Linked DNA regions of Caenorhabditis elegans. The protein of the gene in region 2 purifies or fractionates together with the protein of the main gene of each other region. This does not show direct contact. Each region holds a gene or a part of one and is shown on either strand. Other genes may lie near its edges. The genes, in order: mif-4, mog-5 and T05B9.1.

Region 1 (3,148 bases), on a different chromosome or scaffold from region 2:
TATGCCTTTATTATTTATTTCGGAAAATTTATGAAAGATTATTTTCCAGACGAGAATCTGCGTCCATATCTTTCCCAAATTGATGCTATGGATGAGAGCACCCGGAGATTGGAGGAAGCTACCGCTGTTCTTGAAAATTATGTTACCCAACTCGGTAGGTTAAGCCTTTCAAGAAAAAATTCAAAGATTTTTAATTTCAGAATCCAAGCTCACCAACATCCAACAGCAAAGCCAATAAGCCAGCTCAATCTCAAACTATTTCCAGCTTTTCTGTAACTAAATTAATGTGTGATTTCTTATTCACATTCCGTTCAATAATTTATGTAACTCTAGTCATTATATTCAGCATAACTTATTTTTACATTTTCTTGTCAAAGTTTCTATTTCTCATTAATGCTAATTTTGCTCCCTCCCTTTTGCTATAAAATAACTTATGAATTATGCTTTGTCTTGTTTTTTTCGATGTTTTCAGATGTTTACTTCATTGTTAAATCCATGCGTTTCAACTTTTTTACAAATTTATTCATACAAAGAAGCAATTGTCTTCCCTTGAGTTGCAAAACTTTTTGCATCTTTAAAATCAAATGATATGAAAATATGGGCGGGATCAAGCTTCAACTGCTCATTGAGCACTGATGTCAATTTTTTTGCATATGAGTCATTTTCGATTCGAGAAGAAGGCCGGGTTGTTTGGAACTGAAAATTGTTATTCTTAATTTTCAACGAGTTGACATTTTCAAAAAAAAAAAACACGGTCTCTGGTCCCGGCACGTCCAAAACTTGTCAGCTACCGTACCCCGGTATTCTATCACTTTTTAGTTAAAAATATTTTTCTCATAAAATTAACTTATATTTTATGAATCTAGTTAGTTTTTCTATTTTTCACACATTTCTTCTCGATTAAAAAAATTTTAATTATAAAAAAGTTTTCAGATTTTGAAAAATACACAGGTTACTGTAGCTGAAAAATTTTACACGTGACAAGACCCAAGCCTAATATTTTTTCAAAATAAAAAAAAACGCACATTTACAATTGCAACTGGAATTTCTTTATTCTCAAATCCAATTCTCATTCTAACTGCCGGCTCAACAATAATCACGAATTTATCAGCTGGTAATTCCATTACAACTGATAAATTGTAGATCACATCTTGCTGAAAATATTAGAAATTAGAAATTTCGTTTTATGCAAACTTACTTCAAACTTTTCTGGAATATCAGCACTTCGGATGTTGGTTTGAATTCGAACAACTTGCATTTTAATTCTAAAATTTTGAAATTCGGCTTGAAAATATTTTAAAAAAAAGAGAAATTGTCGTTTCGCAACATAAAAACCAACGGGAAAAAATGCTCAGCCAGCTGAGAAAACATGTCGCTCGAAGAAAAGAGCGTGCACTCGACAATAAATACACAACTCCATTTGTCAATGTTATGTGCGCAGGATGGACAGAAATGGGATGACATGGAAACAATTAGTACGGGGAAATGGAAATAAGTTTGACCTTGAATTTTGGGTTGGGCACACGGTTTTTTTGGTGAAAATCGGAAGTAGGTTAGGGAGACACAGATCAGAATGTGTTGCAACAACTAGAAGCAAGAATCACAGTTTTGAATCAATATTATTTATATTATCGTAATTTCATTAGGGTCTCGCCACGATCTCAGTTATGTAGTTGATATTATTCAGATGCAGATTTTCGCGATTTTTGCTATAATAATACGGTACCAGGTCTCGGTACGACAATTTTTCTTAGACACAACCATGTCAGCGCTTTGAACAGTACTGTAGTTTCAAACTATCTTTGTTAACGAGAAGTATTTCCTGAAATTCGTACACCATATTTTTATTGCTGCGCTCCATTTTTCATGACTCATAAAGCTGGAATAGGTTCAAAAACTTTTGTTTAGTTATTCTAGATTACTGTAGACTAAATCAGCTGGCTGCTCATCTCGAAATTTCCAACTCTTTTTTTCCACTCGGCTCAATTCCGTTCGCGATTCGTGACTCAACATTTCGAACTTTCTCTGTCTCATTAAAGTACCTGTCACGTGGGGACTCCCCTCTGTGACGTCACATATCACGTTGTCGTGTGATTTGTCTTCAACATTCTTCTCCTCCCAGACAAGACCACGTGCTTTTCGGTTTAGTGCAGTCTGTCCTTTCCATTTCAATTGTATATATGCATGATGACAGAGAGGTGCAAGAGACTCAGAAATAGAAAGACAATGCGAGAGACAACATAAGACGTGGATACGCAGACGGAGAAACAATGTGGGTAGTGCAAGCTGTGGACTACTGAGTGTTGAAACGAGTGGCGTGATCCTCCCGACCCTGTTCTCTGATGGCCTGAAATAGTGGGCTTTGTCAAGAGATTACAGAGAGACACGGAAAAGTGAGAAACTTTCTTCCGTTCTTTTGAGTTATCACGTAGTTTTCCAAACTGACAAGGTTTCTAAAACTGTTCACTCTTCACTTTTTTTCTGAGATTTGAATTTTTTCAATGAATTTTCCCGTGAATTCTTTGAAATTAACCGTATACAATTCCCACGTCTCATTTTTTAAATTTCTTTTTTATTTAATTATTGTTCAAAAGCGAAATTTTGTTGTTTTTTGCGCCAGAAATACGGCACACGGTCTCGACACGACAAGCATAGGAAATGTGAAAAGACGTGTGCCTTTAAAGATTACTGTAGCATCGATTTGTTGGAATTCATGCGTTTTATTGTTATATTTGAGTTGTTTTAAACATAAATAAAAGTGTTTTTTGTCTAAAAAACTATGAAATTCTATAAAAATTCCGCAACAACCGAGACCTTGTCGCATTTAACTAAAATTGTTCGTGGCGAGACCGGCTACCGTATATCTGGCGCAAAAATCGTAAAATTTCACTTCCGAGTAATAAATAATTATTACCTTTTTTAGATATGGCTACCACAAGTACACTGATCCATCGAACATCCCTTCCACTGCTCCGCCGACATCCGAGTACAATTGATGGTTTAACACCAGAACGACCATTTTTTAGCAGTTCAAATACACAAGGTACAATTTTTTCTGATTTCGAAAGTCTATTTTCAACAGAAATATGAAAAATTGAATTTTTTTCAGGCGGAGCAAGTGCACCACCTGGATCCTCAGCAACAATTT
Region 2 (14,210 bases):
TGCATACATTGAATTCGATGACTCATCCAGCATTGAAAATGCACTTGTAATGAATGGATCATTGTTCAGAAGCAGACCAATTGTGGTCACTGCCAAAAGAACAAATATTCCTGGAATGGGACATGGTGTACGTGGATCATCAAGAGGAACCTTCGGAAGAGGACGTGGAGCTGCTCGCGGAGCACCAGGAAGACAACAGACAGTCGTTGTCAAGTATGTCTATGTAAATGGTCCAAATCGGGGAGGACGTGGTGGAAGAGGACGTCGATTCAATCCATACTAGAGCCAGAGATTCGTAATCTGTAATTTAATAAGTTTTTAAATGTTTTCATTACTTTACAATAATTTTTTTCTTTCATAATAATAAAGTTTCCTTTCTAAAAGTGATTTTTACAACCATTCATGAATTTAAAATCGAATTGAATGTCTTTGTAACCTGGAAATTATATGAATGTATCGTCAATAAGGATTTAATCAAAATACACTCATAATAGTACACAAATATTAAAAAAATTATTTTAAGTCAAAGTTTGGTAAACTGCCAAATTTTCCTAAAGTTGGACTTGTAAGTTGTTTTGAGCACTGTTGCAAATTGAAACCTCTAGAATGTTTAAAGTTCTTTAAACATAAGCATTTAAAACATAAAACTCGCAGAAAAATTTTTGTTCGACTTTCAAAATTTGACTGATGAAAAGTGAGGTTTTGGCAATTTTTCAAATGTGAATAAACAATTTCAAAAAAATATTTGAAAACTTTTACTATGGTATTTAGTCATTTCAAACTAAAAGAAGTGGGTTTCAATAACTTCCCCCACTGACTCTACTTCTAATTCCGATCTTCTGATCTTAACCGTTCACTTTTTTAACCGATACATCAACACCTTGCAATCTCTGCTCTATCGTTCCTGCAAAACGTATTGTTTCAGTTCAAATAATAACACTAAAAGCCCCCCGCAAAAACCAAAACCTAACCGTTTCGGGACAATAAAGCCTGCCGGAAATTCAAGGTATTCAAACATGCGCTCCTCATCAACACTTCTCATTGCTTTTGGCCTCTTTTTGGCTTCAATGTCGGTTGAAGCCATTATCAGACCAGGTGAGTCTTAGAGTTTTATCTACAGTTTAGTGAGAAGCACAACTATAGGATTACCACAAATATTTGTAGTTCGTACGTTAGGGTCTTGAAGCGAAAATGAATTTAAACCAAATTCGTGGCAAGACCCATCCCCAAGAAGCAATCTAGCCATCATTAACTATATGACACAGGTGCCCGGTCTCGAAACGACCGACACTTTACAGCTATCGTACCCACGAGAAGTACACAATTTTTCATCTCCTCCCAGCACGCTCCGTGTCTTATGATTTTCAACGCGAGAACTTCATATTTTGTTCAAAAGATGAATATCAAAATACATAAAAAAATCCTCAAAAAAAATTCTTACCTGGGTAAAAAGGAAAATACCTCAACCAGCTGAAATAACTATTCATTGAATCTCACTAAAACTTCAGGATATGGAAGCGGAGGACATCGTCCACCATCATCGTACCATGGAGGACATCACAATGATGATGACTGTACGACAAAGCCACCAAAGTCCACGAGTACTCCATCAACTTCCACATCAACTCCTACAACTACCACAACAACTACTACTACCACCACTACAACTCCTACCACAACCACCACCACCACCACGACCACCACACCTGAACCAACAACTACCAAGGTAAAAGTTTGTCCACAAGGATACACAAGCTTCCTTCGTACTCCTGCTGCTGACAACTCGTTCACTTCTGAATGGTGCATGCAATTGATATGGTCCCCAAGACAACCAATGCCGATCAATAATGCATCTGCTCTTTGCCAGGCTTCTAACACTGAAGCAGTTGTAACTACCTTCGCCAACGAGGAGGAGCTCAATGTGTTCTCTTTACAAATGGCACAACAGTTCGATCGTGTTGGACCGGCAACTCGTGGCGCTATTGCTGTCGACGGAAGACGTATTGCAGCATGTGTTTCAAGAGATCGAGGAATTCTTGACAGTGAGGAATGCAATGGTACAAATTCATTCGTAATGGTTGATAAGCATACCTCACCAGGTTTTACTTGGTCTAAATGGGCTACAAATGAGCCATCTGCAAATGCTTGGACATAGTAAGTTTATTCAAAAATGTGCAACAATAAATAAAATCTCTATTAGTGCGGCTCTCGAATGTTTTTGAAGATATTAAGACAATTCAAAAACATTAAGTATAGAAAAAGATTTAAAAATATGTTCTCAGTTAAAGTTTTTCTACAAAAACAAAAAATCACGAGATTATTAGCTGTCAAAGTCGAATATGCGGTATATAACTTGAAGCACACGGTGTCAAGCTTTTTTTGCTGCTCATAAATTTGGAAGGCGACCAAAAAAATTATTTTTCCTACATTTTTATACTTTAATTTTAGTTTAGTTATTCGTGTTAAAACATTCTAAGTGTCGGAACATGCGACATTGCTTTGAATATTTTCAAATTTTTTGGCAAATTGCCAAAAACTTTGAAAGTGAGAAACTAGGCCAGCTGGCCCCTCTTTTCAACTTTTTCTCCCAAAAAAAGGCTTAGAGAAATTGTGATTTATCAATTGATTTTCCAGTGACATCGAACAATGTATACAATTTACCGTCTACCCAGCGCTCACAGGACCAGGGGATAATCCATACAATATGCTCAACCGTAACAATAAATTCAACGATATCTACTGCAACATGGACAAGGCTCCAAATGAGCCAACCAACACCGCCTACTGGAACTTCGGTGCTCTTTGCGGAGTCCTCCCATCCTAAACACTTCTAATTCTAATGATGGTATATTTTGAATGTTTAAATGATAATAAATGAGGTTATTCAAAAACAAAACAAGTGTACTCGTATTTACTCTACAGACAGAAAACAAAGAACTGACATCAGAAAAAGAAGCAAAAATGAATAACTTAAATATTAAAAAATAAAAAAACGATAAGAAACACAGGAGACTGATTATTTGTTGGGATTGTATATCCTCTTCTTGACACGTGTGATACGCCAGGCATTTGCATCTGCATACTTGTCGAACAACGGATCGATTTTCTGGTTTCGTTTGAATGTTGATAATTTGGTAGAATCTCCGATTTTGAAGAATGACGGTGCAAATTCAACAAGCCATTTTGGATCGATTGCGGTGACCTGGAAATTGAAAATTAGGTTTTTATTTAATTTCTTATTTAGACTTAAATAGTTTTTGGCCCTAAATGAAAGAATAAAGTCTCCATATGCCAAATATGAATTTTAAAAATGTATATAATTTCTCTAAACTTTGTATTTTTTTTTCAAATTTTGAAAATATTTCAAAAGGGAGCATAATGGCCTAGTTTCGACATTTTTGTGTTTTCCGCCTACAGTACTTTTCCGTATATAAAATTGAAATAAACTTACTTCTCTCATATATTCCTTAGTTGTCATGACGAGTTCATGATATACAACCCATTCTGGTTGTTGTTGGAAACATGCTGATGATGGATGAATATAAACATTCTGTCCATCAGTCAATGTTCGATATCCTTCCTGTGGATCACGTTTTGCAGCATTTCGGAAGAATCCAGAGCAAATAGCCTTCTGAACTCTCGATACATCCCGTCCACAACTGACCATCAGAAGTTTATGACGATCCATGATTCCGAGTAATTGCTTACGAATGTCCTGAGCTCTCTTCATACTTCTCACTTGAATGAAATTTTCGAAACACCATGGTTGTGAGAAATGATGGTTTTTCCATGAATTGTAAACCGCTAGAAGTGTCAAATGATCTCCTTCTGGTTGATGGAATTTCGCCTTCTTCTGGTCAGCATGATCCTGTTTTTCTTTAGGTCGATAGAAAATGTTTTGCACATTGAGCATTGCCACAATCGTAAGAACTTCTTCTGAGCATCCCAGATCGACAGACATGATCAACAATTTGGAAAGTGATGGTTCCAATGGAAATTCAGCCATTCGACGACCAAGTTTCGTGAGAAGACCATCTCCATCAAGTGCTGAAAGCGTGTGAAGTGTATTGAGAGCAGTAATCATTGAATCCAGAGGTGGAGCATCCATGAAATCAAAATCAATCAAATTATTGATTCCCATAGCTTTAAGCTGAAGAAGTGTTGACGCCAAATTTGTTCGCTGAATTTCTGGAACAGGTGTCGGAAGCATCTCATCACGGAATGCACGTTCTGTGTAGAGACGATAGCATTTTCCAGGTCCCGTACGTCCTGCACGTCCTGATCGTTGCTTTGCTGCGGCTTGTGAGATTGGGGTGACAACCTGAAATTTATATTGTATTTTCGTTCTTATTTATCAGAAAATTGTTTTTTAATATCTCGAAAAAAATTATCTTATTTTGAGTAGCTAATAATTTTAATTCGTCTAATTGCAAACAATATTGAATTTTATTGCATCATTTTCAGTTTCTGGTGAAAACATTTTTTTTTCACTTTTTTTTCGAATCAAAATTTATGAAAAAAGGCGAAAAATGTATGATTCACTTTTTCGAAAAAAAATTTGTTAAAAAAAGGCGAAAAAATATTTATTCCACTTTTTTTCACAAAACATTACACTCAAAATTAAATATAACTCTACAAATATTTATTCTTGAAATAATAAGAATTTTCGTTTCAAACATTTCAAAAATATAAAATTTCAGTTTTTTCCTGTTTTTGGCGAAATAAATTGTTTCGCTTCGAACAAAATTTTTTTTCTTGTTTTTGGTCTCTCTGGTAAAAATGGATTTTTTTCTTCGTTTTTTTTAAGACAAAAACCAAAAAAAAAAAGTTTTTTTTAAAAAGAAATCCGAGTTTTTTTTGTTTTTGGCAAAATATTATTTTTTCGTTTTTCGTCTTCGAAAAAACTTGTTCTCCTGGTTTTTGAACTTTCTGGTAAAAATTGATTTTTTTTTTCGTTTTTTTAGCCGCTTTTCGTGTTTTTTGAAATTTTTTTTTCGTTTTTTGTCTTGTTTTTTGGTCGAATTTTTTCGTGAAATCCCTGACGGGTGCATAAATGCTTACCAAGGAATCCATTCCACTTTTCGGATTGTAAATCTTCTGTTTCACAAATCCTGGATCAACGACATAGAAAATTCCATCAATTGTCAAAGAAGTTTCGGCAATATTCGTAGCAATAACAACTTTTCGCTTTCCGGCAGGAGCTGGATCAAAGATTCTTGTTTGCATTTCACTTGGAAGAGCTCCGTAGACAGGAAGAATAATCAGCTCCGGCACATCAGGTCCCATTGATTTCATTCGTTCATATAAAACTTCACACGATGTATCAATTTCTTCTTGTCCAGTCAAAAACACAAGAACATCACCAGGTGGCTCAGTCAAATGAATTTGCATTACAGTAATATGTGCAGCTTCAAGGTAATCTGATTCTGGTTCTCTTGTGTACAGGATCTCAACGGGGAATGTTCTTCCAGGAATTGTAAAGATCGGAGCTTCCAGGAAATACTCTGAAAATTTAACTGAATCCAAGGTGGCACTAGTGATAATCAGCTTCAGTTCCGGACGTTTTCTAGCAGCAGCTTTCAATAATCCAAACAAGACATCCGTATGAATTGTACGTTCGTGAGCCTCATCAAGCATAATCAACGAATATCCAGAAAGATCAGGATCAATAAGACATTCTCTCAGAAGCATACCATCCGTCATGTACTTGATAATAGTATCTTGACTTGTACAATCTTCGAAACGAATTGTATATCCAACATCAGTTCCCAGCTTACAACCGTACTCTTCTGCCACACGCTTTGCTACGGACATTGCTGCAACACGACGAGGCTGGGTACATCCAATTTTACCACGTCTTCCAAGTCCAGCTTCAATTGCATATTGTGTCATCTGAGTAGTCTTTCCTGATCCAGTTTCTCCAACAACGACAAGAATTTGATTATCAATCATTGCTTCCATCAGATTCTTTTTCAACGCAAAGATCGGAAGACTTTCTCTCTGCTCAACCATACTCAAATTGGTTCTTCTTCCATAAGTCGCTTTTCCACCAGCTGTCACATGTTTCAACCATTCTGGCATTTCTTTCATTTTATTATTCCGATCCTTTGACTCATCAGCACTCCACGCAGTCGACTGATTTCCAGACATAGGATCAAGAATTCGAGCATTTGAACTGAATCCTTTCTGTGTATCCATATCACGCTCTCGTTGTGCTTGAATTTTCGTTTCTTTTCGTTCTTTTGAAAGAGCACCTTGCATTAAAGCTGCTTGAGCTAATGAACCATCCGGATTTTTGACAACTTTTACAGGTTCTATTTCTGCACCGCCTTTTCCATATCCACGTAAAAAGTCAGGTTCGTCTTCGACAAGCTCGATTTCAATATCCTCGCCATCACTTTCATCTGAAAATTGAAAAATTGTTGTGCTTTAAATGATAGAAACTTTATTTTAAATATTTAATGATTTTTTTTTAAATTTAGCTTTTTTAAAAATTGTCTTTGAATTATCGGGAAAATCATTTCCTTGTAATTTTTCGCATTTTCCTGCTAAATTCGAAATTTTTCCTTTGATATATGCAACTTTTGTCATATTTTGGCTTGTCTGTTGAAACTAAAAAATCGTCTTAAAAACGATAAATTAGTGTCGATTTTTGAGGAAAAATGTCTGCGTGCGCGAATTCAAAAACAATTTAGTCATTTTCAGGAAAAATTAATTTGTTTTAATTCAAAAAATTTTACAATTTTTCTTGATAAATTATTAAATCATAAATTTTATACCATCATTTTTTTCATGTTTTTTTTTCAATCTTGCTTAATTTTTAATTTTATTTGAATTCCCGGGAAAATTATTGCCGTAATTGTAAAGTATTCGCATTTTTCAGGCTAAATTCGATATTTATTCTCCGATGCATCTTTTGTCATACTTTGGCATTTTTCAGTAAAGAAAACCAAATTTAAATTTTGTTGAAAATAAAAAATCGGCTTAAAAACGATAAATTACTGTCAATTTTTAAGGAAAAATGTCTGTAAAACATCATTTTTAGTCATTTTCAAGAGAAATTGAAATTGTTTTCAATTAAAAAAATTTTGCAGTTTTTTTTTTAAATATAAATTATTTTTAAAAAATCATATACCGTATTTCCTCTATTAGTCTTGCATGCAAGACTAATTTTCGATTGACCCGTAGGGGTGCAAGACTAATAGAGACTGCAAGACTATTAGAGGCTGCAAGACTAATTTTCGAAGACCCGATAGATTTGTTCAATTGGCCATTTATCGTCACAAATTTGACTTGAAACAGTCTAAATCATGCAAAATACATACTTTTCTATTGTTTTATCAATTATTTTAACACTTTAAAATTTAATTTAGCTATAAAATGGCGAAATTGTTGAAGTTTTCACAAAATACTGCTGGTCTGGCAAGAATAGGGGTGCAAGACTAATACCGTATGTTCTCTATTAGTCTTGCATGCAATACTAATAGAGGCTGCAAGACTAATTTTAGATTGACCCGTAGGGGTGCAAGACTAATAGAGGAAATACGGTAAGCAAAATAAAGCACCATTTGCGCGGAATTCAAAAATAATTTAGTGATTTTCAAGAGAAAATAATTTTTTTTTCAAATTTATCATTAATTACTAGATCATAAATAAAATACTCACCATCATAATTTCTTAGAACTCCCATTTCTTCATCAAAATCAGGCATATCTGTGGCTGTGAGAACTCCGGCTCCTTGCATTTGTCTTAATTCCCACCGTTCAGGTGTCGAAATTCGAACTCTCGCCTTTCCACCACCAATTGAGGTCGAAGGACCTTGTCCTACTCCACTTGCTTCAGGATTCATCCACGAGGAAGTTGATGCTGGCGGTGTCCGTGGACGAACTCCGATTGCATCCGGATTCAGGTCGGTCTCGCGTGGATTCAAATCTTCTCCACTATTCTGATCGACTTCTTTCATTGACAACGAGATTTTTCCATTTTCAATCTTATTAACTTTAACTTTGACATTTTCTCCTCTTTTCAAAACATCTGCGACGGTTTGAACTCGTTCATTTCGAATTTGGGAGATGTGAACAAGTCCTTCTTGTTTTTGACGGAAACCTTCCAGTGTGATGAAAGCTCCGAACGATTGAATACTGTTTACACGACCATCGTAGATTTTTCCGATTTCTGCAACTTCGGATTTTCTAGCACCACCATCATCTCGTCGATCACGCCGATCTCTTTGTCTGTCGTCTCCTCTTCGATCCCCACGTCCTCTGTCTCTGTCTCTGTCCCGATCCCTCCTATCTCGATCTCTTCTGTCTTCACGACTCCTACTACGTCTCCGACGATCCCTGTCACCACTACGACTTCTTCTTCGTTTTCGATCACGACTCCTTGATCGACTTCTTGAACGGTTTCGTTTTGAATCTGATTCCTTTTGAAGACGTTTCTGTAAATGGAAAATTTATTTTAACAAATTTCAAATATCAAAGATACGTACCTCACTTTCATATCGGCCTTCCATCTTTTCTAACTGAGCCATAAGATCATCTTCATTATCTTCCTTTTCTTTCGCAGTATTTGCCATCGCTAGAGCTGGAAGTCGTGCTTTAATTTCTTCTTTTGCATCAGAAATCAATGTAATTTTGTGTGAATCCTTGATATCTTCTTTTGAATCACCACCTTTCTTGTTTTTCTTTTTAACAGCAGTCATGCTTTGTACTATACGAAGTATGGTCGCAGTGAGGGAATCATCAAACTGAAATTTAGAATTAAAGAGAGGAATATCGAGACTTTTATATTTATGAGACGAATAATGTTTTTTTTAAATCTCGATATTTGATATTCATCAAAATATTTTAAAACACCTTGAATTAAAATAATTTTGAAATTTCCTTTAAAAAAATAATTTAGTCGTTAAATTTTCTCATATTTCAACATACCTGATCCCCAAGTCCCTGACTATCCAAAGCCTTTTTCAGTTTATCAAATGTTGGATTCTCTTGAGCCAAATGAATAACAAACTCAGCGACATCTTTTTCGACGACACCAAAATGGTTCTCAACTTCACTGAGGACCTTGCTCACAAGTGAGAGGTGCTCAAGCTGGTCCATCCTGAAATTTACAGATAAAAAATTTAATAAAATAATTCTTTAAAGCAGTTTTAATTCCGAAAAACTCGAACAATAGAAAATTAGAGTAAAAAAACAAATTCGAAATCTAAAATAGTGGGCGTGGTCTTTCATGCAAACTGCGGCCCGCTTTTTCGCAATTGTGCCGCACAGTGTGCAGCTTTCTTTAATTATATTTTTTCAACAATTATTTTTTATTTTATTGAAGCTGCCGGCTTTCATTTCGTTTGTAAATATGTTTCATTGTGTTTTTTTGAATTTATTTTAGTATTTCCAAAAATGGATATATAAGTTTGTGTTAATGTAAAATCGTTATTGCAAATACCCTTTGCCTTCAAAGTTAACAAAAAACAAGGTCTTTTAAAGCATGATTTTAAATTTAAAAGCTGTTCAAAAACTGCAAATTTTCTAGATTTTCTTTGAATTGGTGCTTTTGAACGTTTCATAGTGACCAATGTGTCCCCAAGCATCCGAATGTCCCGTTTTCTGCGTCTCTTCACTTCCGTATAATCTCTAACCCGACTCACTGGTAAACATGCGCCATTCCTCCTCCGAACAACGACTAGTGAAAATCGATCAAAATTGTTTTCAAATTTATTATTAATGTTTCAATTTCAGAAAACAGTTAAACCTAAAAAATGGATTTCAATCGAAGCTTCACATCGAACCTCGGGAGCGCTGGAAGTGCTAAATCACAACAGGTTAGAGAACACAATTCGATTTTTTGTCTACCAAATAAATGTTAATGTGATAAGAAAACACTAGGGAACAGTAGCCAAATCAAATCATATGGTTCTGTTATCTTTTCTCTCGAAAAAACGTTTTTTTCACACATTTTCAATTTTTCAGAGTATGTTCAAAGCACTCCGCCGGCTTCATGGACAGAACTTGGAGAGCCGAGGGCTTCATGATATGACTGAAGCATTTCAGTCATTTGTCACAAGGGCACGGTTTTTCAGTATTGGAAAATTGAGGTAATATCAACATTTTAGCTCTGGTTTTTTCTAAATTAAAATTAAAATATTTTCAGGCGAACTTGGTCCCACTCTGCCGCAGAGTTTATGAAATATCGACGACTTTTACCAATGTTACTCGCCGATGGAGATGCATTTGATGGAGGAGAAACAGACGGTAATAAATCTTAAAATTTGGAAAAAAAATCAATAATTGTTTTTTTTTTCAGATTTCGATGCATCTATCGCTTTCCAACATACTTCTCGTGATGATCGAAAAATCGTGGTTTCGAATATTTCTGCTAAAGTCACCCAATCACAGCTTCAATCCTTCTTTTCTCAATATGGAAAAGTGTGTTGTTTTAATTATCATTTAAATATAAAATTTTAAAATTAAATTTCCAGATAACCAGCTGCATTCTGCCTCGCGAAGAGAAAAAGACATCAGTGTTCGGAACACTTCCAAAGCATTCCAGAAATTGTGGAACTGCTACTATTACTTTTAAGTATAATTTAAATTTTTTTGGTTTGTTCAGGTCTTTTTAATAATACAATTTTTGCAGAAAGTCTGAGCATGCTGATCGCGCGAAAAATGCGAATCCTGAAGAGTTGAAGTTTTATGATCAAGTTATGGTTGTCTCAGCTGTAAGTTTTTGATTTGGGATTTAATTTTTAAACCAATTTATCTTGTAGTATGTATCGAAAAAACGTGGAGGTAAAGGTCTCGTGCTCAGTGATGATGTTGGAAGTCGTGAAGATACTCCATTGTCCCGTGCTTCATCTACACAGTCGTTAGCTTCAGGATCCGAGCAATCATTCAATTTGGGAAACGTCCCGGATAAAATTCTTAGAAGGGTCATCTCATTTTTACCAATTCACGAAACAATTCGATTGGAACGAGTTAATAAAAAGTTCATGGAAGAATCAATTAAATCCTGGGAACTTGTCAATAAAATTGCATTGGCAAGAGAAACTGTATTCAACAAGCAACGACCAATGAGAACAAGTCATCTTAAAATGAGTTTGAGCTGAAATTTAAAAAAATTAGTTTTAAAAAGTTAATAAAAAATAAAAAATTTCAGGCGATTCTTACTCGTGCTGGTGCACACTTGAGGTCACTTGATGTTTCTGGAATTGTGCATCTTCTTGATGATCGCCGAGCACTTAAAGTCATCGCAACATGCTGTCCGAATTTAGTTGATCTTGATATTAGTGGAACTCATGCTCAGGCTGAAGCTCTCGAAGAACTTGGAGAATCACTTTCACATTTAGAACAGCTATCTTATAGAGGAATGGAAACAACTGGAGACAAGGCATTCTACTTTTTACTTAAAAACTGTGGTCATTCACTTAAATTTGTGGATTTACGAAATTCAAAACGGCTCCACGGACGATCATTCAAATTATTCGGGTCACAACTGGAAAGTTTATATTTGGATGGATCATCAAAAGTAGATGAGATGGCTTTTGAAGATTTATGCACCAGTTGTGGAGGTCTCAAAGAATTACGGATCAATGAATGCTATAAAATCACAGATGAGAATCTGAGTATGATCGCTAGAAGAATGGAAGATCTTTCAATCTTAACATTATGTGGGGATGGATTCAAAAGTTTAACGTCAGCCGGATTGATTCATATTAGTCACATGAGAAATATTACAGAATTGGCGTAAGTTCCATCTGAACCTATGATTAAAATTATATTTATCAATGTTTCAGCCTTGACTACAACGCTCTTGTTAATGATGAGCTTCTTATCTCAATATCAGCTGGTCTACCGCTTCTTTCATCACTCAGTCTTGCTAACGCTGGAAACGATTCGTCGATCACTGCAGAAGGAGTTTCAGCGATTAAAAATCTAAAAGAACTGACTCAGCTTGATGCATCGTCGCTGGCAGCTGTCAATTCAAAAGTTTTAGAGCAACTGGGCTCACTGAAAAAGTTGGAAATTATTCAACTGAGAAATTGCACATATCTTGGTGATGATGGTGTGCGTGCGAAGCTTAGAATGCCAAATATCCGCCACGTGGATCTAAGTGGTTCAATTTTAGTATCAAATGACTCGATTCAACAGTTTATCAAAGCATTCCCATCAGGACCAAAGGTTCGTTAGGAGGAAATGGATAAAATTAAAAATAAAATTTAGCTTCCACCAATCACCCTCGTTGTCGGTGGAACTGCCGCTGATGCTTCAAAGTTGTCAGTTCGAGGATCAAGAGTAGTCGTCGACTTTTCCGATTATTCCACGATTGTCACGATGCAGACAAGCCAATGTTCGTCATCCAAGTTTGCCATTGGAGGATCAGCGTCAGACGCTGAAGGCTCGGATGATGAATTTGAAGCATTGACCGCACAAAGTATGTTTTAAGATTAATTTAGTTCTTTAAAAACTATTATTCAAAAATTTTCAGGAAGTTTCTACATTGATGCTGTCTGTGGAGAAGAAGAATCACCAATTACAGACGATGGAAAATTGGCGGAATGGGCTGAAAAAGAAGCAAGAAGCCTCGGGCTTATTAAGGATTAAAGCTTCAGAATTTTATCGAACGAAGGAAACAATTTCATCCGTTTTATTGCAATTATAGGTTCTTATTTATTGATAATAACATTTTTTGTCATTTTCAGCATTTTTCTTGTCATTTTTTTTGTAACTAGTCTAATGAAATTTTCGATTTCTTAGAGACCCGTTTTGAAAAAATTACGGGTTTTCAACCGTTCTTTGATATTTGTTTCAATTTTAAACATTATGAGAAAAAGTGATGCTTTTTCGAATTTTTTTAAATTCAAAATATTTTTTTCTCTCGGAATTTTGTCGTTTTTCTCTTAAAAAACCAAAAAATTATATTAAATTATAATACTTATAATATTTTCAGTGTATAGAAGTAAGAATGTCTATGAAACGATTCGGAAAAGCAGCATATCGAATCGCAAATGAGGTATCTTCAAAATCGTTCTTTTTTATAATCGTTAAATTGAAATTTTTTAGTTAGTTGCAAAAGGTGGACGACTACCAATTTTCCAACGCTTCCTGCCGAGAATATTTCCCGCCACTTATAATTTAGGAGTTCATGTCGTACTCAAAAAGGCTCCATTTCCACGACAAAATGCTCTACGAATTGTAAGTTTATGAAAATTCAACAAAAAAAAATTAAAATTGAATTCCTTTCAGGCTCGCCTTGTAACTCGCCACGGTCGAGTTTTCCGGCCATTTTCCTCAGTAATAATCGAAAGACATCGATTTCAAAATCAAAATGATTGGCGTCGAAAGTTTCAACCGATTCGTAAAGAATTGCCAAGAAATGTGGATTTAGTCGAACGAATCAGGCAGATATTTGGCAATTCTCTACGATACAATGAGGATTTGAAAAGCACTGAATGGCCGAATAGAATTGATTCTTATGAGTTTGGTATGCTTTTTTCAGTGATATTTCTCCATTGTTTGAGTTTTCAGGGGAATTTCTCGGTCAAGGATGCAATGCAGCAGTTTACTCTGCGAGATTAGCCAATTCTGATGCAGAATCCTCAGGGAATACTCACTATGGTGCAGGGTTTAATGAAGTCACAAATATACTTGCAGAAATTCCGCCAGTTAGCAAAGTTGCACAAAAGGTAGTTGATAATCTTAATTCGATGATTAATATTGAAAAATCATTGCAGAAATTCCCGTTGGCAATCAAATTAATGTTTAATTTTGAACATGATCGCGATGGAGATGCTCATCTCTTGAAATCAATGGGAAATGAATTGGCTCCATATCCGAATGCTGCAAAGTTGCTCAATGGACAAATGGGAACATTTAGACCTCTTCCAGCAAAACATCCAAATGTTGTTCGAATTCAGACAGCTTTTATTGATTCGTTAAAAGTTTTGCCAGATGCGATTGAACGGTTAGCTTTGAAATTTATTGATAATGATTGAGAATAAGATTTTCCAGATATCCAGATGCCCTTCACACTGCACGTTGGTATGAGTCAATTGCCTCCGAACCGAAAACAATGTACGTAGTAATGAGACGATACCGACAAACACTTCATGAATATGTATGGACTCGTCATCGAAATTATTGGACAGGACGAGTGATAATTGCTCAACTATTAGAAGCATGTACATATCTTCATAAGCATAAAGTTGCTCA
Region 3 (9,765 bases), 5.9 Mb from region 2:
ACACTCAAATTGGAATGAGTATCGAAGGTGGGAACTATCGAAGGATACGAAATTTCGTGGATCGAGAGTGAGTTTTTTTTACTAAATTCCTTTGACTAGGTTCAAAGTTGAAAATAAATTTTTTTGTCATTCTAGAGCATACTAAAACTACAAAAGTCATATGACACATTTTTGACATCCTTGTTTTGAACTTGAGAATTCTAAATTTTCATCCAGAAGCTTCTAAATTTAAATTCACACGAGAGGAGTGTCTTCTGATTATATCTCTCATTAACAATTCATAGAGGATTTTTCCGACGTCGGAATTGGATATCATATCAAAAATGTATATGTTGCAGATGTGCGAAAGAGTGCATCGAAGATTTCTCATGTTTTGGCTACGAATGGAATAGCGAAGAGAAGATATGCTATCTGAAATCACGGAGCACGTCTGGAAAGCTCATCGCTAAACCGAACACTATGGTCGGATTCTGCCAAGATGATGGTGAGAGGCTAGAGAAATTTGGAAGTGATTGCTAGAATGTAAACTTGTTTAGAAGATGAGGTACGGTATCGCCTTCAAGATCATGTAATAGTTGGTCCAATCGTGATGGAGGCTGATGATGTGCCAGATGGAGAAGAGTGCAAGGAAAACTGTCGGAAGGTCGGTGCATTGTACTACTCCTGGAGGCCCAACAGCGACAATCAACGGAGTAACGTTGTACCAGTAGAAGAAGAAGAAGATGATGAAGAACAAGAAGTTCTAGGTGAGTGCTGTATGGATGTTTGAAGAAATGTCAGAAAGATCTGTAGAGTCTAAGAATACAAAAATTAATATCGTTTAATATATTTATAACTATAAATCGGGAAATCCTGTTTTCTTTTTTTCAATTTCTAAAATTGGCTTTCCCTAAGCCTCCAAGTGTTCAGAGATTTATCTATCATATGTAAACCAAAAAGTGGGTGCTGATGTTGGTGGTCGACAAAATATATATCTTAAGTTTTGAAGAAAAAAACTAATTTTTTTAATTTTCAGGTCACTGTGAATGCATCAGCACGATGAACGAACTACGATTAGAATACGACGCGTTTTCCGGTTTCATCCCAATTCCAAAGCACAAACATCGACGAAGTATTTTACTGAGGCCTTTTGAAATATGATTTTAATCTTGTATTTAATTATGTTTAGCTATTAGTCGTTTAGATTTTGTAAGTATATAACAGTTTACGGGTTCGAATGCTCCAAAAATCTCAATTTTCTTGGTACTAAAACTCCTGTTTCGCTTGCTTTCGTTTCCCCCATTCATGTCCAATACCTTCATTTCACACTTTTCCCAACACACAATACGGGTAATAAGAATTTTTAAAACTATGTACCTCTATGAATTGCTTGATCAATGAATCAATTCGATTTTTACACTTTGTGTTTTATTTGCAGAACAGAAATCTCGTATTTTTAGTAAGTAACGAACACTCATTTATTTTTGAGTAAGTTAGTGTTCGTAAACTCAGTAGTCAGAAAAGGCGTTGTTTTGAAAGGTCGCCGCCAAGTGAGTGGGAGATGAATTTTGACTACTTACTTATATACACACATTCACAAGAAACCTCTTGACCCAAACACGGAAGTGAATTCTGGTCGATTCATAATAATAATGTAAGAAACAAAGCCCGAAGGAACAAAAGTTGTTTGCTACTATGTTTGCAACACCACATCACTTTGATCCCTTCAGAAACCTAGCATTATTAATCTCTCTCCTAGAATAAAAGATGGATAAGGAAGGATAGCGCCTGGTCATTTGATTTGATCTTTTCTGATTTATTCAGAAAAATAGGAACCAAAGATTTGGCTTAGGACATGTTGTAGGGGTTTCCCAACTTTTAGTAGACAGCGTGTTTGAGACTCAAGGAAAGTATAATCTAGGATGTACTACGTGAGTTTCTTCAAATTTTTTTCTGTGGGAACTTGAATAGTAGTATATCGCTTTGAAAACTGTTACGCAGACCAAGACTCAGAATGACAACCAGAAAAATTATATAAAATACAGAACTCCAAAGTAACCTGTGTGTATCTCTAACACGGCCTGTTGTTGATTTTCGCAACTTTAGTGAGAGAACCTTATGTTTTAGAACATGGTGCAACGATTCTAGAAACATACACACTTCTCTTCGGGGAGTACACTAATCGCGTAAATCGAGGCAAGGTTTCACATCCATTTTTTAAATATGAAACGGTTGGAAAGACCGTTACTATTTCCTTTGCTCAACCGGATAAGTATTAGATATCTTCCAAACCATTTTTCATTGGGCCAAAAATCAACCACTAATGAAAACTTCATGTTATTTACATTTTTCGGTTTCAGTTTAGGATTTCAACAAATTTCTAATTTCGTATTTAAATATTTCCTAATCCATAAGTAACATACTAGAGATATTCCAAAGCGTGGAAATATTTTAATCTCCATGTTTTGAGTGTCTTTTGCGGTTGTGTAATCATATACGTTCTGTTTTTAACTATTCTTGCATTGTGATTTATGGATAATGTTGATGAAGACGTAGGTCGTTTAGAATGTGGCTTCTTGCGTGGGTACTGTTTTACGTTTTTTATACCATCAATCCCTTTATCGACTACTTCCAGCAAAAATGAAGTCGGTGGTATCACCATCTGAAAAGCTCTCAGATAGTTGCAGCCGTACTCTATGGTTATCTTTGAAAACTGCGACAGTGTCTGCCAGGGGTTCCAAAGGTAAAGCATAGACACATTTGCTACACCAGAAAGCTGACAAGTATGTTCATGTTTTGTTTTTCCTGGTGTGAATGATCGTTTCACCACTACTGACGCATATTTCTGATCTTTTACCGAGAGACAAGGAACTCGTGATCGGATGGAACCAGGCCTCCGTGTCTGCTGAACAAGTGTTCACAAACTTATCCCGGATTTGTGAAAGCTGGTGTCCACAGGAAGGAAACTTGCGGAAATAGCCTGGTGGAACCTTTGAAATCTAGCAGCTTTATTAATGAACAATTGAACAGTGACGGTAAATGAGCAAGGTATGAGAAAATATAATAATGTGGTGGCAATTGGGCAGCCGATGAGGAGGTTGGGGGGTGCATTCACACTTCAAGTTATACAAAAAATCCTATCAATAAAAGGAAAAAGAAACGGGAAAGGTGAATTGAGTTGACGGATTGTGGGAATGTGAGTCTCATCTCAATAATGATGGTTTTCACATTCATCAAATGAGATACGTGGGTGTTTGGAAGAACGATCCGAGTGATCAGTTGAAAACGGCGATGTCCTCTGAAAACAAAAGCAATTCCTTCTCTTCGAAGATATCCGAAAACGATACCTGCGATCGTCTTTCGTCCCATCGACATGTGAACTCCAAGTGATAGACATAGCTTTTGTCACCTCCCTTATCCCAGCAGTTTGTGCATCTGCGACGCGAAAACATGCAATTTCTTCCACAAGTTGCAGATCCATCGGAGTTCGCTGGAAGTGCGCAAGATCTGCAGAGTCCTTTATCCTTGAAGCCTTCGTATCTTTTCGAATTTGTGTTGTAAATCGGACACGAATGAATTGTGTGCTCATCAGTCTCGCAGAGCATGCATCTTGAGAAAATCAACACCGGCACATTCCTCAGCTCGGGATTTTCTCGTGAATGTTTAACCATCGGGAATGAACGCAGTTCCTGACGAACATCTGGTGGTGGTGTCTGCGCGGCAATCGAGTTGTTTTGATATTGGCGAGCTTTCAAATCGGCAATTTCCTTTTCGTGTGCTTCAAAGAGCGATTGAAAGTGTGCCATTTGGAAATCCAGCTGAGCCTTGAGATCCAAGTTCTGTGACTTAAGTTCCTCCATAGATTCTTCAAGTTTCTTCCTGGACTTGGCATCATTTAGCTTGTCCTGGGTCAGTTCCTCAACTCCTTGCAATAATTGGGCAATCGCTTCTTTCATCGCCTCCAAATCCTCCTCCTTTTTGATTTTGCTGTTCGAACTGAAAGAAGATTTCGTAAACTCAGGAAGGTAAGTTGAAAATTAGATTAAGTACCTCGACAGTGACGCATCCGGTTTCGGATCTGCAGAACTTGAAGTGTTCATCTGAATCAAAATAGCCTTATGAATTAAACATATAATATATGGAACTTGAAGAATATTAAAATTCCATAAATTAAAAAAAGGAACAAAAGACTTCGTAAAAATCAGAATAAAATAAATTTTAGGGCAAGGTGATAAGAACGGAAAAGAGTGAAACGCGACGCATGAGGGGCGCGTCGCGTGCGCTGCGTGCTTGCGGACTAAACACTAAAGTCAGTGATTACCGTACCCTTAATTTTTAGAATCTCCAAAATTTGTGAAAAAACACGGAATTTCCACAAAATTTTGTGAAGTAAGAAAACACATTTTTGACCCATAAAATAACATAATTTTTTGTGTTTTTTTACAAAAACTCGGCCATCCGTTTGGTCACGTGATGTCAGAATGTCCCATTTCGGGTTGATCTACGTGAATTGCGGGAACTTAGACGCAGACTATTCTACTGATTTCGCATGGTTAAGAACGCACTGACGTCACATTTTTTGGGGAAAAAAATTCGCGCATTTTTTGTAGATCAAACCGTTATGGGACAGCCTGACACCAATTATACGGTAGGTCATTACCGGTAAACTTACAGAGTGGGGGGTGCCGTTTTTCCGTCAGTGCCGTCAATTTGTTTTGCTCTTACAAAAATATATATAAACCGAATTCCAATCTATTAATTCGTCAAATTCATTCCATTTCAATTCCAATTCCTAGCATATGTAGATATCCATAAAACATTTGTTTTGCAAATATCACTTCCGCAACCTGACATCATCAGACATTTTTCAAAGAAAAATCCGATGATTGAAATTCAAGATACTCCAGAAGACGTCATTGCTCCTTTTATCTGCAACTCTCGTCACCGCAAACTAATTTATTGAGGGTGGAAGCTATTGCATTTAGAAAAATGAGATTAAAGTGGAGAAGGTTGAAAAATAAACATGCCAGGAAATTCCTCAATTCAATTGCCTACCTGCTGCCTCTTTTTGCTTCTAAGGGACTAGAAATTAACTCGCATTAATGCTCTCCCACTCCTCCCTCACACTTCTTCCGGATTCATATACTTTGCTCAGAAGCTTTACTTGAAGGGGATTCTATTGGAATTTTTAAGATTTAGAGGATACTGTAAATTGCACGATGTTCAGAAACGTTCCAGTATATCATGATATTTCTACCGTGTGTTTACGGTCATCGTGTACTTCCCAAGGAGAGGTGTAGATTTTTTTTTTACAACCTTCGTTGTAGGCTAAACATTGAAATTATCAATTAATATCATTAAACAAAACTTCTAGTTTGCGAAAAATGTATGTCTTCTTTAATTTTAAAAAGACAAAAACATGTTCGTTTTAATTTATTTTTAAGATATTTTTTTTTTCAAAAAGTAAATCTGATCTCTAACATCCTGTAATTTATCCTATCCACCCTCGCTGCCTAATTAGCTCAATCCTGTGTTTTTTCCTTCAGACTTCCGTTATAATCCAGCTCAAAACCTCTAAAGCTTTCGTCGTTTCGGGTGAGCTGGAGCGGTCAAACCGAGTTGAACTCGGTGAGTAGAAAGAAATGGGATGCAATGTCCAATTGAGAGCGGAAGGTGAAAATATAAATCAGTTCCAGTTGGTTGGAGCCAACCAAGTTCAAAAAATGGCATCATTCGAAAAGTGTGCAAAGTTGAGTTTTTTCGTCGCAAACCAATGATTATGGTTGGAGGAAAGGGGGAGGTAAAGCTAATTTTGGAGCAGGCCCAGGATCGGCTCCCAGTGGAATAGAACATAAGTTCAAAGCGATTCCGAATTGTTTTTGAGTGTTTCAAGTTTTGAAGATAAACACAGAAAACAATTGTGTTCTGACTCTGAGCATTATCAACTTTGAAGCCATAGTTTTGAACTCCCAGTCGAGTGCCAAAGTACACAGATTGCACCGGAATCAAAAGATCAACAAGTCTAACAATATTTTCATCCAACCTTTAACCATGTTTTTCTTAAAGTTCTGGGAGGTTTTTGCAAGTTGATTCGATTTCAATAATTTCAAAAACATGCTCGACCAGAGTGAAAGAAGTGAAGTATAGTGTCAAAAATAACTGAAAGGGGTTCCCAAAGAAAAAAGGCTATACTTTCAGGAAATTCAGATTTTCAACAATTTCTTCCAGTTTTACAAAAATGAAGGCCAGTTGTATATACGTATAAATAAACTTACACTTTTCCGAGAAGAACAAAAGCTGAGTAAATCGGCGCTCAACTTTCTATAACTCTACCTACCGTAGCATAGGTCAAACTACATTCAAATTATTTTTCAACTCAAAACATTTTGTACCATAATCCCAATTATAATTTCAAAAAATTGCGTCATCTCGACACATGTTGTGATATGTCGGTTTTCGACGATACGACGGTGTTACTCAAAAAAAGTGTTCGAACAAAACAACAAATAAATTATTTGTTTTCATACTGATACTATTACGTTTAAATTAAGAGGGACTTGCAGTATTTGCGGCGGCGGGGGATAGAATTTTAATTTTTTTTTCCTTAAAAATGGATTGGTGGAGACAACAAAACTTCAGGAGTCCAAGGGAAATTTTTCAGGTTTGGTTTTTTTAACCCTAAATTGACAGGGTTACTGTAGTAGTTAAAGGCGCCAAACCTTAACTGGAAAACATTTTGTAAGCAGGACGAGAAGGTGTCGTTTTTTTGGGGAAATTTTAAAATTTACTTAATAGCACTGCTTCAGAAAATTTGTGCAGCCATGTGAAGAAAGTGACGTCGCATGTGACCATAACCGTTCAATAAATGTAATGCCATAAACAAAAGTACAAAAATTTTCAAATTAAGAACCGTTAGAAAAAAAACCAAAAAAAAAAAATAACCGGACCAAAATAAATAAATATTAAATTCAAAAACTCTGAAATTACCTAGGACATGCTATTTATAAATGTCTGATTTTCTAAAAATGGGTATTCTAAACCTAAACGTTCAGCAAAAGGAGATAATCGAATTTTGTCTGGAAATCAAAAAGAATATGCAAAGAAATGGGAAAAGGGGCATAAAGATCAATTGTGCCATGATTCACTGTGTCCGATGTTTGCTCCTTTTTTTCAGAACTTCCTGGTCTGGAAAAAGCGGCACCATACAGCAATGTTACCTTATAAGTCAAGGGAGCTGAAATTTGAAAGTACCAATTTTTTCAAATGCCAGCGCAAAAATGCTGATCCTCGCGCAATCGAAATTTTGACCAATAAGCGATACTGACCACACCCCATGCACATCGCTGATTGGTCGAAATAAAACTATTTGATATTTGATATTTTAATACTATAGTTTGTTAATTTTTAATCCTTCCGAACACAAAGCCCGCAAAACATGTTTTTGGTAATCCTCGTATCAACTACGTAGCATTTTTCAATACCTAGAACAGAAGAAAATTATAGTTTTAATTGTGTTATCCTGCATTACTACTCAGTTCAACAATTTTGCCAAAGATCCGCAAAACATCTCGTAATTCTCCCCCTTTGTAGCTTCTCCCCCGCGGACTACAATCTGATCCACTTCTGGAAAGTTATTTTCAAGGCATTTACATTTCTGACCGAATGACGTAGATTTTTGGAGTTTAAATAGCAAATACAACTTTAGTTCCGGATTACTATAGTAAATGGGGATATTTGTCGATTTTATAAAACAATTTCTGAAAACGTCACAGGTATAAGTAGGATTTTAATGTAATTTTGAAGGGGTTAAAATGTTTCAAATAGAAGAAAGAAAAAAGTGAAACCGAATTTTCAGGTTCAGCGCAAGACTGAGCTGGAGCATAAATTTGAGAATGATCCTATAACATTCGAATAAACTTAGGCCTAAACTTTAGGCTGATCCTGAGCATCAGCCTGAATTGAAAGTTGGTCTAAACCTAAGTCTTAGCCTAATAGTAAGCCTAAACCATCCCTTTTCTCTAAATACATTTCTCTCACTTGAACTTTTTCACATAAAACGGTCATTTCGTCCGTAGACACATAATCATTGGCATACAAACTTACTGTTTTGAGGGACACGAAGAAAAAAAAAAGAGAAAACTGAATGCAAACCAGTTCAAAGAATGCAGAATGAGGAATGAGTACGACAGTCAACACAATTCAGGCATCAATCAAAACACATTTATGGAAGAATTGAAAGAATTTGTCGCCTTTGAACACATGCTAATTTTAGAACACTTTTGTTTTTATTTTTTCTATTTTTCAAATTTTCAATGTAAAACCAAAGATTATTCAGTTACACATTTTGCACGTGAATTTTGAAATATTACTGCAAAGGTGTAATGTCCGGAAGTATAAAAAAAATGATGTGACGGGGCGAAAGATAACAAGACTAATAATTGAAAATCGGATGTTACGTAGTAGGTTCAGCCACTTGGTTGTTTGGTTTTGATTACAGATTAAGCTTTGGTTGAATTTAAGAAGACGGGTGACATTGGAAAAAAATCACAGTAGCTTAAAAAAAAAGCAAAAACTTCAAAGGAATATCTGTGGTTAACAGTTAACGATTTTTATCTCTTGTGAAGTTTTTTTTGTTAATTTTCGATAATTAAAATTAAAGGCCATTTCAGATTTTACCGAACTAGGTATTATACTTTTTGGAAAATTCTGGGAAAGATTCAGAAAAAATTTTGTATTAAAAAAAAGCGAATTTATTTTCAAAACTGTTAATGTGATATACATTATTATCATATTTTCCGTTGAAAATATTTCCGCTTATTCCTCCGCGGGTCAGTTCAATCTCGGGTCTCCCCCAAACAAACTAGTTATTATCGTTAGCTGCTTACATCATTTAGCATCGTTCTCTCACTTAGCGATCACGGAGATAACCACAGAGTACTGTTATCTTAACAACACATTTTGTGATGATAGTGCTGAAGCTTTAGGATTTTGTTTCGCAAAAAAGTGTTTTTTTTTTGTTGGTTTTCTGCGGGATATTTGCAGTTGGGAACAGAACTTGTTATTGAGATATGCTGATCGTAGTTATCAATTTTATCACTTATCATCACGGAATTATGTATCTTTGAAAAACAAACAATGAAGCCATTTTTAAGAGCAAAACGTCACGCATGTCTGGAGACGGTTTAGTCAAAATATTTATAATCTGAAACAAAAGTACATGTAAATTTCTTTTTTAGGCTCCTGGCAGGCATATAGAAATCGAAATGCACCTATCTAACCTACCATCCCAACTTTAGTAATATGTTCTCAAAATATCAGAGCAAAAAGCTCCGCACGAGTGCTCACATAGTTCCTTTCATGCACACATAGAAGTCAGAATACATATATGTCATCAAAAATTGAACAGTGACGTTTGTGCCAACTCATGCAACTTGGAGCTGCAAGTAGGTAAATTCAATAGTCTAAAATTTGATCCGGGCAGGTTCTGCGGAGATGAGTCGGGGGTTTTTTTACATTCTAGATTTTTTCTAAACTGCCCAAACTGATATACATACCGTAGGTACAAAAAATGTGTTGAATTAAAAAACTTCCTCCTCAAAGTTTGAAGCAACTTTTCCCGACAACAATTATTTTGTCAACAGAAACATAGTCCTCAGAACTCTCGTGTGAAATTTTAAAAAATCTAAGAAATTCGGACAAATATTATCGGAACTTGACTTGCTACCTAACCAAGTACATCACCTTTTTATTTTCCGATGGAAAGCCGGAAAATTTTGGGTCTTTGTT

Evidence for each region.
Region 1: the proteins of mog-5 (region 2) and mif-4 fractionate together in Caenorhabditis elegans (co-fractionation; one large-scale study listed by BioGRID). This does not show direct contact.
Region 3: the proteins of mog-5 (region 2) and T05B9.1 fractionate together in Caenorhabditis elegans (co-fractionation; one large-scale study listed by BioGRID). This does not show direct contact.

The regions. Positions count from the first base shown.
Region 1 is NC_003282.8:6,334,730-6,337,877, forward strand, and holds mif-4 (Macrophage migration inhibitory factor), read right to left. Parts: upstream 1,266-3,148; 5' UTR 1,259-1,265; coding exon 1,199-1,258; intron 1,155-1,198; coding exon 1,026-1,154; intron 697-1,025; coding exon 520-696; 3' UTR 501-519; downstream 1-500. Other genes in the region: blos-2 (Biogenesis of lysosome-related organelles complex 1 subunit 2), read left to right, coding at 50-154, 201-238; ipla-6 (PNPLA domain-containing protein), read left to right, coding at 2,926-3,043, 3,110-3,148.
Region 2 is NC_003280.10:5,394,433-5,408,642, reverse strand, and holds mog-5 (putative pre-mRNA-splicing factor ATP-dependent RNA helicase mog-5), read right to left. Parts: upstream 9,106-14,210; 5' UTR 9,105-9,105; coding exon 8,934-9,104; intron 8,750-8,933; coding exon 8,492-8,749; intron 8,441-8,491; coding exon 7,666-8,440; intron 6,405-7,665; coding exon 5,062-6,404; intron 4,322-5,061; coding exon 3,452-4,321; intron 3,203-3,451; coding exon 3,017-3,202; 3' UTR 2,833-3,016; downstream 1-2,832. Other genes in the region: Putative RNA-binding protein EEED8.12, read left to right, coding at 1-283; clec-141 (C-type lectin domain-containing protein 141), read left to right, coding at 1,017-1,095, 1,509-2,154, 2,635-2,824; fbxl-3 (Putative RNA-binding protein EEED8.10), read left to right, coding at 9,761-9,823, 9,972-10,096, 10,153-10,253, 10,306-10,427, 10,481-10,581, 10,639-10,720, 10,769-11,092, 11,158-11,744 and 3 more; pink-1 (Serine/threonine-protein kinase pink-1, mitochondrial), read left to right, coding at 12,964-13,011, 13,062-13,193, 13,245-13,482, 13,527-13,684, 13,733-13,962, 14,010-14,210.
Region 3 is NC_003280.10:11,257,114-11,266,878, forward strand, and holds T05B9.1 (Nuclear receptor domain-containing protein), read right to left. Parts: upstream 4,080-9,765; coding exon 4,030-4,079; intron 3,976-4,029; coding exon 3,327-3,975; intron 3,278-3,326; coding exon 3,188-3,277; 3' UTR 2,974-3,187; downstream 1-2,973. Other genes in the region: T05B9.2 (Apple domain-containing protein), read left to right, coding at 1-67, 339-484, 537-746, 1,016-1,140.